Notamacropus eugenii: one gene and its partner. The main gene of each other region encodes a partner of the protein of the gene in region 2 in a complex. Links are inferred from orthologs where the notes say so. Each region holds a gene or a part of one and is shown on either strand. Other genes may lie near its edges.

What was found. The genes of interacting proteins can lie anywhere in the genome.
Region 1: the proteins of MEP1A (region 2) and FETUB are in contact, whole or in part, in a cryo-EM structure (PDB 7UAI), measured with the Homo sapiens proteins. The link is inferred for Notamacropus eugenii from reciprocal best matches to the Homo sapiens genes MEP1A and FETUB. Residues at the interface, in NP_005579.2 of Homo sapiens: Asp126, Gly127, Cys128, Trp129, Ser130, Glu131, Val132, Gln145, Gly146, Cys147, Tyr149, Ile152, His155, Glu156, His159, Tyr164, His165, Gln167, Ser168, Leu184, Gly186, Tyr187, His189, Asn190, Asp192, Tyr194, Tyr214, Gln215, Phe217, Ser218; in NP_001362516.1 of Homo sapiens: Phe109, Phe110, Lys144, Lys145, Tyr148, Met149, Thr150, Cys151, Pro152, Asp153, Cys154, Pro155, Ser156, Ser157, Ile158, Ser196, Ser197, Gln198, Trp199, Val200, Val201, Gly202, Tyr205, Phe206, Thr242, His245, Trp246, Phe249, Val250, Ser251.

What each region holds. Positions count from the first base shown.
Region 1 is NC_092877.1:377,028,871-377,036,491, forward strand, and holds the start of FETUB (fetuin-B), read right to left. Parts: upstream 3,032-7,621; 5' UTR 2,917-3,031; coding exon 2,701-2,916; intron 1-2,700. UniProt on the Homo sapiens protein: Protease inhibitor required for egg fertilization.
Region 2 is NC_092873.1:111,180,697-111,188,129, reverse strand, and holds the start of MEP1A (meprin A subunit alpha), read right to left. Parts: upstream 3,026-7,433; coding exon 2,957-3,025; intron 2,872-2,956; coding exon 2,847-2,871; intron 2,757-2,846; coding exon 2,715-2,756; intron 1-2,714.

The DNA.
Region 1 (7,621 bases), on a different chromosome or scaffold from region 2:
CCCTCTGGATCTTTCTTGGCTCCCATTATTCTTTGCTTTGTATTCTGTTTCTTTGAGTACATATAATTTTCCTCCTCCAACTTAGATTGGAAATCCCATGAGGGCAGAGACTGTGCCTTTTTGTTTCTAATCTGTATCTAATGTGGTTCTTTGCACAGAGTTGGTGCTTAATAAATGTTTGTTGAATGAATAGTAAGGAATTTGCAAAAAGCAGACCATCTGACCATCTGCAGTGGTGAGCTCCCATAGACCATGAAAGCAGAAACCGTGAAAGATACTCTATGTCCTTACCAGACCCCAATGATACATGGCTGGGCTTTAGCCTCCAGCATCAGAATTATAAAGGAATCCCACTGAATTGGGGATTTATTTTCACTTCATAACCAAAGTGTGGATCTCCCTTCTTTTATGCTGGATTCAGATACATGCACTCCCTGGGGGGGTCACATAAAGTCTCAATTTTTCATCAGAACCTATGCAGGCCAGATATCAACATTCTCTGAGTAATGGAACTGGAGATGTTTATCCTAGATAAGAAAAGACTCAGAATGATGATGATAAGAGTCTCCAAGTATCTGAAGATCTGTCACATAAAAAGGGATTTGACTTATTCTGCTTGGCCTCAGAGGGCAGAACTGAGAGCAATGGGTGCAGGTTGAGGAAAATTCCATTTGACTTTGTGTCAGGAAAAATTTCATGATAAGAGCTTCCCAGGAGCAGACTGAGTTTTCTTCATAGGCATTGGTTTCTCCCTCTCTCTGGATCTATTCTCTGCTGCCATCCTCCCTGCTTTGTATTCTTCAGGCAGAGAATCACTTGTGGGGGACACTGCAGAAGGGCTGCCTGGACAGGTCTAAGTTGGAGCAGATGGACCAAAATTAATTCTCCATCTCCCTCAAGCATTCCTGATTTGATCTTCAGGCATTCCCCCCTCCACTGGCATAGTTCATAACCACTCTATAACTTAGTAGATGATCTTTGAGAGCTGTAGTCATCTGACCAAATATCCATCAACCTGGGGCCAAGCTGGGAAGGAGCATCACCCAATTCATTCCCAGAATATAAGCTCCACAGTGCCTGGCACATAATATGCACCTGATACATGTTGGTTCGTATCATTTATTCCTTATGTTGGCTCTCAGGTAGACATAGAGTCTATACCAGCTCTGTCCTTGACACTTTTCTGGCTTGGCTGGGTAGGACAGGGGAGGAGGAGAAAAGCAGGGGAGAGGGTAAATGGGGCAAGAGGGGAAAAGGTCAACCCTTTACCTTAGGAAGTATGTTATCAAATAATTGGTGATTCTATATTCATCTCTTAGGTTAACTAGTTTTCTTCAAAACTCAGCTCAAGCAACACCTTATATACCAAGGCTTCTTGATTTCCCCCCTCCACTTCTGCAGTCCCTTTCCACCAGTCTCTAATTCTCCCCCACCCATTACCTTGTAGTCATTCTGTCTCTATTTTTTGTATGTATGTGGTGTTTCCTTCCATTGGAATATAAGTTCTTTAAGGACAGGCACTGTTTCAATTTTATCTTTGTATTTCCAGTGTCTGGCTCATTGAAAGTGATTAAGGAATGCTTACAGATGAATCTACAGGGCAAAACAAATCTTATCCCCCCCCCCCTTTACACTGGGCTACAAAAATTTGGAAGCTAATTTGATGCTGGTCATTGGATAGCTAAGTGAGCTCACTTATAAGGCTTCTCCCATCTCTCTTCAGGAGGGTTCAATAACTGGAATCCACTTCACAGAGTGTCTGTTGCAATGTTGAAACACCCAGCTAGGGCCAGACCCTGCCCCAGAGGAATCTGACGCTTCAGAGCTGCCATTGACTCTATTGTGTACCTGAACAAGGATGCCCTCTGGGACATCCCAATGATTGCTCTTTCAGTCCTTTCTGGAGCCCTTCCAGTAAAAGGGACTTCCTACCTCCTCAGGATCTCACTCCACCTCTGGATCACTAATCACAGCCAGCTGAAATCTGCCTTGAAGTTTTCTGCTCACTGCTCTTCATTTTCCCCTATGGGAGCAATGAGTCCCAGACAGACCAATTCAGTTAAAAAGCCTACTGTGTGAGTGATATCAAACTAGGTGCTGTAAATTATCATTGCAGGAGTGACACACTCTGCCCTTAAGAAACTTACCTTCTACTTGAGACACAACATGGAAGCGGACAAATGAGCATCAGCTCCAAAGCAGCTTGGTGTAGGGATGGGAGTGACAACTAATGACCTGAATGGCCAGGATGACCTGGGATCGAGTCATCTTTTGGCTGTGTTATCCTGGGCAAGTCACCTCAAGTCTCAGTGTCTCTAGGAGACTTCCTAAGACTAGAATTTGCTGATCTGTATGCATGAAGGGAGGTTCCTACCCAGAGAATCCCTCACACCAATGAAATCACAAGCCTGGACCACTGACAACAGCAAAAGGAGGCAGGACTAATCAGTTCAGGGATCCTCAAAGGATTACTATGTACTGAAGGCGACAGCTGAACTGAGCCTTGAAGAAAGCCAAGGATTTCAAGAGGCTGTGCTGAGGAGGGAGTTCATGGCAGGCAAGTGAGGCAGCCTGTGCAAAATCATAGAGGTGGGAGATCCATGGCCAATTCAGAGAAGAGAGGCGAGTCAGTGTGACTGGAACACAGAATGTGTGAGGATGTCCCCACCACTGCCACCACCAAAGAACAGTGTTATTTACCTGATGATGTTCACGGACGTCAGCCACACGATTGAGGCTGAACATGTAACCTTCCTTCCGGTCTTCATTGATGCCTTGTAGAGCCAAGTCTGCCATGGACAGGACTTGAGAGTCATTGCAGCTGGGGGACAAGAGGAGAGGAGGAACAGGGATTGAAGTACTCCAGCAGCTGGGCACCAGGGCCAAGAGGCCCAGGAGGAGAGAGAATCTGATCATTCTTCCAGACTGGGAGGCTAAGACAGATGGCTGTTTCCCTCTAAGTCCTTTTATACCCCAGAATCCAGGCTGAACTGACTGGCTGCTGCCACGATCATGTCACCCTGAAACCTACAGGTGATAACTGAATCAATAAATGACACATGCCTTAAAAAGGTAGGGGGAGGGCAGAGTGTTTGTACCTCATATTTCTGACCATTCTCCCATCCAGATCACTGATTAATCAGCTTTGTTTTCCCAACCATTTCCAAAATGATTACCCAAGAAGTCAAAGCAAGCCATCTGATCCAAGTTCTTGGCAATGAACTCATGAGAGTCTGGCTCTCTCATGGTGTCCTCTATCTCCCACCCCACCCCCCATATCCTTTAATGCGTGTCCTGTTATCATCAAAGGGCGATATGTTCTTGTAATGATAACTATTAGCATCTTATTATAAGAGGGTGATGTGATTATATTTACTAGTGCACATAGTAGGTGTTTAATAAATATTAATTCACTGACTGACTAGTGTCTTCTTAGTTTTATTAGTGTTTCTTATTATCAAAGAGTGACATATTCTAACTTTGTCCCCTAATTCAAGGGGTCATACCCTACTCTGTATCCTCCACTGTCCTGACTGCACCCAGGTTCAAAGGTCACAGGAAAACTCATTCTGTAAAGCAGAAATTCTGGCCATAATTAAAGTGGGCCCCCACTCACCCATACTGCCAAAATCTACTGATTTCCTTCTTTCTTTCTCCCTGGGGGTTGGAGGTTTCCTATGCCAATGCAATCATAGATCTGGTCCATCATCGTCATCATTTTAATTCATCCACTCAACAGGATTATTCTAAGCCTCTCCCGCTATGTCCTTGCCATGATACCATGCTCTACCCTCCTGTGAATACCAGCAGGCTTTCTAGCCCTTAATCTGGGTCCTTCAGGTCCCAGAATCCCTACTAAGTCCACCACACTACATTCCATCACACTGATGGGCCCTCCAGCCCACTATGTTCTCTGGCCATCTTGCTGCCATGCCTCCACAAGCATTCTTCCACTTTCCACCTCTTGTTCCTGGTACGGTAATCAAATCCATGCTACTACTCCTGCAAAGGGCATATGATGCCTATAGATTGCCCTGTGACTCTCCTATCCTCCTGGCAATCACTCCCCTATATATTTTGTCTTCCCAATGACAGTACAGACCTAAGTGAGGGACTATCTTTTTGGTTTTGTATACTCAGTGCCTAGCCAAATGCCAATTTGGCTAAAAACCAGCTTGTATGTAGGGGATTATGTGTATTCAGTCTGAAAATAGCTTGAAGTCAGAATAGAAGAGCTTGAAATACTAAAGGAAGAGTCTGGCTTTTATCCTGGAGGGGATAGGGACCTTTATTTTTTAGTCTTCTGTGTATTTATTGTTTGACAGCAGAATGACTGTCACAGGTAACTGCCACATCTGGGCAAGATCATGTATATAAGGCTTAAATCCAAATGGGGGGAGGGTCATGATTTTTTAAAATATTTGAACACAAATTTATGGTCATCAAAAGAGCATTTAAACTAAATGATCTAAGTTGATCTGTGTCCTTGGCCCACAGTAACTGCTATTTTCCCCAAAACCAATGGAATCAGTATACTGAACCATCATCCATTTCACTGTGTGAATGACGGATCACAGTCAATGAGCCCCCTTTTCTAAGAGCTCTTCCTGGCTCCCTGACAAACATGATCCACCTGGAGAAAAAGACAAGAGGAATTTCTTGAAGGTCAATGGTCCAAAATGCTAAGTATGGTTAAGTAGTCTACAATATCTATATTCACTGGTTCCTTTTTTTAGTTAGGATGTACTTAGATGACTTTCTTTAATTCATCATACAGGACAAGCACAAAAGCTCTACCCATGCCTCTAAGAACATTGGACCAGGCACCCTTGAAGAAAGTTTTGCCACCTTCATCTTTAGCAATCTTCTTCCAGCAGTCAATTGTCCCAGTGTAAATATCATCTCCTTTGTGCCCAGACTGCACAGTCATTCAAAGTCTTACTGTATCAAAGGGATAGGAGACCACACCTGCTTCAGTGATCACTGCTTGCACAATCATCCGGCTTACCACAATGACTGCTCTTCTGATCTGGGAGCATACCTTTCGATGTATCGTAAATTCCAAAATAAGCTTCTCTATGGATAACGATACACTGCATGAGACATTGAAACCTTGAGACAAGTCATGAATTCCATCAGACTTGGTGATTTTCACAAGGCAATCTCCCAGGCCTTGAATTCTCTGTCAGTGCCAGATTTCCCAACATCAGCGGCCAAACACATTCTTGAAAAATCCAAGGGGTAGACAACTCAGAGAGAAGTGGCTCCAGCCACACCACCAGAGGCAAGATTGCCAGCAAAATACCTCCTGAATTGTGTGTGCTTGTCCACTTCTCCCCCAAATACTTACTTTAGCTTTAAAGGCGAAGTTAAGTGCTTGGGTGGGGAAATGTCTGATGACATTTGCTGTTACCCTGCCAGAAGGAAAGCACTTCTTGTTCATTTGGAATTCAGGCTGCCTTTGTACTGCTAATCAGCAGCAATTTTTTTACTTACATGCTGCACGTGCTATACTAGCCTAACTCTCTCAGTGGGGGCCACTGCAATCTTGGAGAGAGCAGTGATACCACCAGCCAGGAAGTCTTTGGAGAAGGAGATGGCCTGTTCTGTCATGGTAACAGAGGCAGAAGGTGTTGGAGTTGGAGAGAGAAAGCCAGCGAGAAAGGGCTGGAAGCTAGGGAACTCCTTGTTGCTTTAACCTAGACCTTTTTGAGCAGAAATGTGACAGGATGGAACTTTATTTTAGGAAATTAGTTATTAATTTGGCAGCCACATGGAAGAGGGATTGGAAAAGGGTGAGACTGGAGGCAGGGAGGTCAGTGAGGAGGCTAATGCAGTAGCCAAGGGGAGAGGTCATGACTGATTTAAGGGAAAACCATTGGTTGTGATTGGGAGGGCCAGTTTCTGCTATGGGAGCAAGCGATCAGATCAAACTGTGGTGCAGCCATAGCCCCAGAACATTCCCTGTTACCAGAACCCAGCCATAGCCCCAGAACATTCCCTGTTACCAGAACCCAGCCATAGCCCTAGAAGGGGATCTTTTTTTTCAATCATTAAACATAAATACAAAAGCTCAAATACACAAGGAGAAAGAAAAAAGGAACAGGTTATAAACTTAAATATTTAATTAAATACAAAATAAGAAAAAGGAAAAATCATGCCACGTGCACAGCAGGACATGAGAGTATTCAAAATATACAGCAATAAATTTTCACTTCAAGAAAGCCTATACAATGAATACTACACATTGTGCTCAGCACTTTCCATCTTTGCTTCCCTGTAAGTTTGCTTTTGTTCTCTGCTGTGTGCTTTTTACTTTGTTCTTTTTCTCCCCTTCCTCCTCCCCTACCTCACCTACCCTCTAGAAGGGATCTTAGAGGAAGCCCAGAAAGGGCAGTGACTTGCCCAGGGTCACACAGGTCATGATGGGCAAGCCACCTGACACCCAGTCCAGAGGCAACTCTCCTCCATACACTGATTCTGGTTAGTCCATTTGGCATGTTTGATGTTCTCAAGCTAAGTTATCACGCAAATGAGTTGTTATTCACTAACTCTCTGAGAAAAACCAATAGACACCCACTCAGCTTTGATCCTGCCCAGGCAAGACTTTCTGGACTCAGACAGCCAAAGGCTAGTGAACATGAAGGCTTCTCTGGGTCTCCAGCATAATTTAGCAAGTCCATGGTCCATTCGTGGAGGTTGTTCCATTCCCTATTGGTGACCACATATGCCCCCAAAGTCGAATTGGACCAAGAGCATGGCCAGGTTGTAGAGCAGTCATGTGCTTCTAGAGAACTTGATTGATTTGGCATGTCCACACCATGAATGCTGAAAGGTCCTGGACACCCAAGCATGGCCTGGACTTTCAACACTTAAGTAGGTTGGGACTTTCCAGTGAGGTCTAGGTCCCTTGGGGACATCCTCAACTCTTCCTTCTTCCTCTCCAACTCCCCCCTTTCCTCTACTATCAGTCCCCAAGTCTTATAAAAATCTTAGTTCTGCCAAGATCATTTGGGTGATATTGAGCAAGTCACTTCACTTCTAAGCCTCAGCATCCTCCTCCAAAATGGAGAGGGGAGCTAGGTAACCTGTGAGCAGCTTTCCTCCTCTGATTCTAGGGTCTTGTACTCTATCCCTATTCACAGACAGCTCGCTAAAGTTCAATCCCTTGTGGGCTCTCACTTCACCCTTGTCCTCCAGTCTCGTCTCAATCCCACCTTCCACCTACCTGACCAGCTGATAAAGCGATATTCTTAAAGCCCAAATCAGACTAAAGCACTTCCTCACTCAAGAAGCTGTGGTGGCTCCATGTTGTTTCTTGGATCAAATGCAAATACTAAATCTCTTCACAGACTGAATCTAGTCTACCTTGCCATACCTTATACACCTTAGTCCCCTTCATGGACTCTTCCAACCAGCCAGGTCTTCTGGAAACATCTCCCCCATAATATTCCATCTTTCTCTAAACCTAACCCTAATTTTGACTCCAATTCCATCTCTGACTCTCCTTCTGACTCTGACCCTAAACTCATATGTGGGTACTTTATGTGCCTAAAATCTCCCTCCTACCCCCTTCCCTTTTAGAATAGCTCCCTCCAAAAATGACTTGTGTCACCCCTAC
Region 2 (7,433 bases):
TCATTCATTAAATGCTACTCTGTTCTATACTTTGTATGTATCATACTTTCCTATTTCATTAGTTACCACTGAGGCAACCAGGATTATATTTGGAAGAATCTCATCTTTTTATGACGCTTGCTGCCCAGCTTAGTCTTCTGCACATAGAAAACCCTCAATAAATATCTGCTGTGTAAATGAACAAACTCTCAATTTCAAGTCACTGATTTTTTCTTCAGTCAATGTGGCATAGTAGAAAGAGTTCTGGACTTGGATTTGAGAGACCTTATTTTAATCATAGGACCATAGCATTAGAGGTTTAGAGTTTGGAAAAATCATCAAAAAGCAATCCTTTTATTTTAAGGAGGAGGAAACTGAGGACCAGTGAAGATAAAGGACTTAATTAAAGTTACACAAATTATCAGTGGCAGAGTCAAGATTTGGACCTAGGTCCTGTGATTCCATGTTCAGCACTCTATGTTATGTCATATCACTCTGACATATAAACTCTCAGACTAATCTTCTATGACTTTGAGCCAATCGTGCAACCTCTCTCAACCTTAGTTTCTTCATCATTAAAATGTAGATAAGTATCCACACCACAGATTTCACAGGGTTGTAAGACTCAAATGAGAACATATGGAAAGTACTTTGTCTATCATAAAGCATTGTACAGATGTCTGCTATTGTTATTTTGTTCATTACAGACAGAATCAACTTGGACTTAGCTAGCGCTAAAGCAAGTTTAGGTACATGTGGGTAGCCTTGCTCTTTAGGTTGACCCTGGACATTTTGGGGGGAGCCCTACCCATTAGGCTGACCTTGGAATATTTGGAGGAGCCCTACCCATTATGTTGACCTTATAGGCTTCATAGTAAAGATATTGTTGAGCTATAAATGAGAGAATTTGTGAAAAAAATTTAAATATATTTGGAGGACCAAAATTTAGAATTATATTCATAATGATTATGTTTTAATATTATACATTTAATATTAGTATCATATATTTAATATAACATATCAACATAATATATAGATAGGATATATAATATATAATTGTAAATTATATAAAATAACTTTATAATATATAACAATAAAATACACTAAAATATATAATATATTTATACTATTATATAAATATATAATATATACATAATATTTATATTACATAGTAATGTTTAATATAATAGATCCGCTGGCTGACAATAAATAACCAGGGGTGTGTAGTTGCAGGTTAACACCAATTCTAATGCTAATTCTATGTTTAAAAACCCAACTGAGTCATGAATTTCACTGTGTCTCTGAGAATAACATAACAAAGGTGGGGGAGTGGCAATGCATACAACTCCTTTATCTCCTTTTATGAGCTAAAGTGACATACTTTTTCTACAAACCGACAATCTCCACCCCTGACTACCTAGAGATTACATTGGTAAGCATATTTTTAAAAAATTGAACTATGCTGGAAGCATATTGAGTTACATCCCTTTCTATCACAGTTTGTGTTATAATACTGAAAACTCTTGTAGGAAAACCTTTTTCTTATAAGAAAACCTCTTTTTCTCCCCACTAGAAAACGATGTCATTTTGTCCTCATCATTCCAGGAGCGGGGGATGGTGTAGAGATTCTTAATCCTTTGGAGCTCATAATATCATCCTTCTCAATCTTAAATACCATCTTCATGAAAACAACTTCTTCTAGCCTTTCTTAAATCGTAATAAAAGAGATTTAGTTTATGTTGGATTCCCCTGGGTTAAACAGAGAAAGCTTAATGAAGCTTTGATAAAGTTTTCCAATAAAAAAAAAAATCACGACTGAGAAATTACAATAAGCTTTTTTTATTTGTATGAACAGATGATTTATACTCACCCCCAAATCTAATCTTAAATGGGTGCCCGTTTATTAGAAAGTGACTTAAAAAACTGATATATAAATCGAACTATACAGTAGCTATATTATATGACATTGTATTATATAATAATATGATACATTATTATGTTTGTATAATATAGTAATTGTGTTGTATACCTATTGTATAATAAGCATTTAGCATATATTAATTGAATAAAAAGTGACATATTCAAACATCTCACTTGTACAAATGGTTTTTCATATGAAGATTTCAGAGAAGTATGGAAAGACTCTTATGTGCTGATTCAGAGTGAAATAAGTGTCTACCTACATTCTAGTATGATTGAAAAACTACATGATCGAAAAGACCACTAAAACGAAAATAATGATGATCCCAAGGAATGGGACCTCCTTGACTCCTCTGACCTGAAAGTCAGGAAACTGCAGAGATAGAATGCTCATGCATTGTCAAAAAGTCCCAATATTGATTTTTTTTTGTTATAAGGAATGAGTTAATTGGGGAAGGAGAATATATACTCAAATTAATGTAATAAAAGTATGGGTAGTTTGTTGTCACAGTGGATAGAGTATAGGACCTGGAGGCTGGAAGACCTGAGTTCAAGTCTGCCATTAGATACTTACTAACTATGTGACCCTCAGCAAGTCACTTATACTGCCTAGTTTCCCCATCTATAAAATTAGTACAATAATAGCCCCTATCTCCCAGAGTTGCTGTGAGGATCAATGACATAATATTTGTGAAGCACTTAGTATAATACTTACACATAGTAGGTGCTGTATAAATATGAGTTGTCATTATTGCTCTTGTTTTATAAAGATAAAGCTTTTTTTAAAGCAATGAAGAGTCAGAAATACCACTTACCTTGGTTGATTTCTAAAATATCTTTCCTTTGCTCACTGGCATCTGCATCCAGGGGGAAAGAAGACATTATTACTATTGTCAATGAAAAGAGACAGCAAAGAAGCATTATCTGAACATTAAGAAAAAACTTACCATTTTCTTGGGAGAAGGGTTTGATCTGCAAAGAAATACACATATAATGGATAATATGCACAAAGGAAGAAATGGTTCTCAACAGCAGAGGAGAATGGAAAGCCACTCACCGATAGGGAAGCAGCAAAGGCAAACAGCAAGGTGAAGGTTAGGCTCCAGGTGGCCCTGGTGGAAAGCATTGCGGCAAGTGAAACAATTTTCCTGGGAGTGCCTTGTAATAAATGTCTCCTGACCTTTACCCTGGCTATCTGTTTCTGAACTTTGACCCTCCTCTCCATACCTACTGTAGGAATTTTTCAAAAATATGTTAGACTAACTAAATTAGTTCATTACTAAGTCTTTAAATAGTCTTTGTTCAGTGGGGAACCTGGGATGGAATTTACTTTTCATCCAAAAAGCTAAAGAATGAGAAAGTTAGTGGCACAGCAGTCACTCTGTTTTCTACAAAAACTGAGCACTAGAATTCCCAGTGGGCTTTTCCCTCAGGAGAGGCATATTTTGGGGATACAAAGTCAGGTGATATGGAAAAGGGGAATCTTTACTTATGTTGTACACTTTTTATCCTTAGATTAGGTGTTCTTTACCTGAAGTTGATGAACTTGTTTGTTTGTTTTTAACATTTTGTTAACTATGTTTTGGCACAATTGTTTTCTTTTTTAATCCTACATATTTTAGTTACCACATTTAAAAAAAAACGTTTTTCTGACAAGTGATCTGTGGGCTTCACCAGATTGTTAAGGTGCCAGGCATAGGGAACCTGCAGCCTCCAGGACATATGTGGCCCTTTGAATCTAAACTTTAGGTCTTCTCTGTGTGGCCTCAAGACTTCAGGTTCCCCACTCCTGACCAAAAGGGTCTGTGACACAAACCTCTGCCTTATTTTTTTGAAGGTTTATTTAATATGCCTGTTATGTACAGGATTCCCAGTAAAATTCTCTTTCCCTCTCCTTTACTGACTCTCAACATCTGAGATAGCTGTAACAAATGACACAAGTAAACTTCAGTCTTACTGTCTTGAATTATCAGCAAGATATTGACCCCATCGCAACTGCAAAGGACCATTGGGTTCTAGGAGCAGCTCACTCAAAGCAGCTCCCTGGGTCTCTGCCTTGTCACCGAGCTCCCTTTCCCACTCTGGACATTCAGGACTAGGGGCATACTAATCAAGTCTCTTCTCCAGCATGTTGCCTTGTGATTCCTTTGAGTCATCAGTCAATGAAGCCACTTGCTAAAATACCCTGAAGAAATTGAATTATACCTGATGATACTCTGGTAAGCTTTTTTATGGCTTTTTTTTTTTTTAAAAAACTATGCTCTTTTTAAATAAAAAAGCCATGCTAAGTACGCTCCCCACTCCCCCAAAGATGTGTCCAAGATAACTATTCTGTCACCTAATTATAAAGGAACTTAGAGGATACCTAGCCCAACCTAATTTTATAGACCAGGGCCATAATGAAGTGACCTATCCAAAATCACATAAGTAGTAAATGGCAAAACCAATTTCAAACCGACGTCTTCTGACTTCATATCCAGCATCCTTTCCAATATGCCATGATATACCATATTGCACCTTCTTCCTAACTTCCTTATTTCAGATTCGAGTATCAAGATCTTTTCAGTTACCAGGGTTTACAATACCAGAGACATTGTCTATTCTTACCTCTCTTTCAAATCTGTATTTAATAAGCCACCAAATCTGACCCATTCTAACATAACATCTTATGTCCATCCTTTCTCTCTACTCACAGAACTACCACCCTAGTCCTGGTCTTCATCACCTTACTCCTGAACTATTGAAATAGCTTCCTAACTGCTATTCTGACTTCAAATTTCTCCTATATCCAATCCACCCTTTACACAGCTACCAGACTGGTATTGATAAAGCCAAGGTCTTATCATGTCACTCCTGTGCTCAGGAAATTTCAGTGGCCACCTTTCACTTCTAGGTAAAATACAAACTCCTCTGTTTCTCAGAACCCCAACCCAGCCTACTCATATGTATGGAAACATATATTTTATGTAATTATATGAACATATGCATATGTATATATGTGTGCATGTATATGCACATGCATGTATGCACATGTGTATAAGTATTGTATTGAATCTGTATCTTGCATCTGTGTATGTTTATGTGTGTACGTTGTATGTTATTCATACACATGTGTACATGTATGCGTGTGCATGTATGTATGTAGTAATCATTCTTCTTCAGCCACTCCATGGTTCAGGTAAACTGACCTGCCTACTATTCCTCCATCATGCTGCCTTCCTGGTGCTTCTCACTCATAAGACTCAGTTGCAATGACTTTGTGCTGGCTAGCCCCCATATCTAGAATGCAGCCCCTCCCCTTCCACCTCAACCCCTTGAATCATGTTTCCTTCAGGAATCAGCTCAAGTGCCACCATTTACATCAATCAATCAATAAACATGTATTAAGTACCTACTATGTGTCAGGAACTTCTACCTGAAGCCCTTCCTGATCCTCACAGTAGCTAATGCCTCCCACTCTCCCCCCAAATTTTCTTTTTTTTTTTTTCTTTTTGGTATATGTTGTTTTCTCTCAATCAAAGGTAAGTTTCTTAAGGGGAAGGACTGAGTTTTTTTGGGGGGGTTGTCTTTATATTTCCTGTGCCAATTATAGAGTTTTACACAAAATAAATGGATACTAAATACTAGTTGTGTTACTGAATAGATGAATAGATGAAAGGTGGAAGGTCCCTTATTGCATTTCTCCTCTCTCTCTTTTCTTTTGCTACTATCCCCCCTCCAGACTTTTGCCTACCCTCAAGCACTTTGACCATTTTGATGACTGGTAATTATTGTTCGGAAATAAAACATTTTAATGAGTTCTCTGTACTCCATAACTAGTGTAGAGAAGGACAAGGAACATTAGATAGCTATCTAATTGACTCTTTTGGATAAACATATCCTCTGCTGAAGGGGTGGAGAATGGGTGTAGACTCATTTAGAGGCACGTGAATATAGGTCTTTTCCTATAGAATCTCAGTTATAAAAGACCCTTTTTGTTTTATGGCTTTGATTATAGCTATTACTTAGTTAGCTGATGTTTGCATTTTTAACCTAGTTGGATCTCAAAGGTTCCAGTGTGAACAGGGAAGGTCTGGAAACTTTGACTCTTCCTTGTGAAGATTTTGTGGTTTAGAGATGATAATGCTTTAGTCACTTTCATGGGCTCATCTGACTTTTTTAAAATAAGTTTTTATTAATGCATTTTTTATTTTACCATAATCTCCCCCCTGTACCTCTCTTCCTCCTCTTTCTAGTCACCCCATACAACAAATTGCACTTTAAAAAGTAGAAAAACCAACATAACTGATTGGATATTGAACAACACTCTAAAAATGTGTAACATATGTGCACCTTTCACCTTTGTATAATGAACTGGAGAAGGAAATGGCAAACCATTCCAATATCTTTGCCCAGAAAACCCTCAATGGGGCCATGAAGAGTTGGCCACAACTGAAACAACTGTACAACAAACACCTTTGCAAAAGGGTGAGATGGTGACTTCTCTGTTTTTGAGCCATGAGTGCTCTTTTTAATTTTGCAACATTGATTTTTGATTTTTTTGTATGTAGTTCTTTCCATTTATATCCTTGTCATCACTGTGTTTAATGTTTTCTTTCCTCTGCTTACTTCACTGTGTATCAGTTCATGGAGATCTTTTCGTGATTTTCTATATTCATTACATACATAGTTTCTTGTTGTTGTTGTTGTTGTGTTAGTCCTTCATTGCCAAAGAAGACCATCCCATCAGAGAAATGGTGACATGACTTGCATTTGACTTTGTTTTGAGTGAGTGAGGGCTGTGCAAGGTCGCACAGGAATATTATATTACATTCATATACCAGTATTTGTTTAGCCATTCTCAAAATTGGTGGACATCTCCTTTGATTCCATTTCTTAACTATCATAGAAAGTACTGCTATTTATTTTTCATTTATATTTTATATTTTCAGTTCTTTTATTTTTTCTTTTATATTTTATTTTTTTCTTTCTTTTTTCTTTCTTATTTTATCTTATTTATTTCTTTTATATTTTATATTTTCAGTTCGTTTATATTTTCAGTTCTTAACTGTCACAAAAAATACTGCTATAAATATTTTGGAGTATATAGGACTTTCTTCTTATTGGAGGCTTTCTTGGGACAATAGAGTCTCTGATTCAAAGGATATGGACAACTTGCTTGAGCAAACTAGGAGGTATAGTGGATAGAGTGTAAAAATAAGGGTCAGAAGACCTGAGTGTGAATCCTACTTCAGACATCTATTAGTTGTGACCATAAGTCACTTAATTTCTATTTGCTTCAATTTCCTTTTTTTTTTTTGTTAAAACAAAGAAGTTGAATTTGATGACCTTGAAGATTCATTCCAGCTCTAAAGTCATGATCTTATGATGTCATTATATTATAAACTCATCAGTTGTAGACTTACTCATGAATTGGATTTAAGTGAGGCAGAGTTATGCTAAGTCATCAGCTTTGTTCTCCTTCCTGAGTCATTGAAGTCCAAAGGCAAAACAGAAGTCAAGATAATTGGCGATGGCCCAGGATACAGTGAATG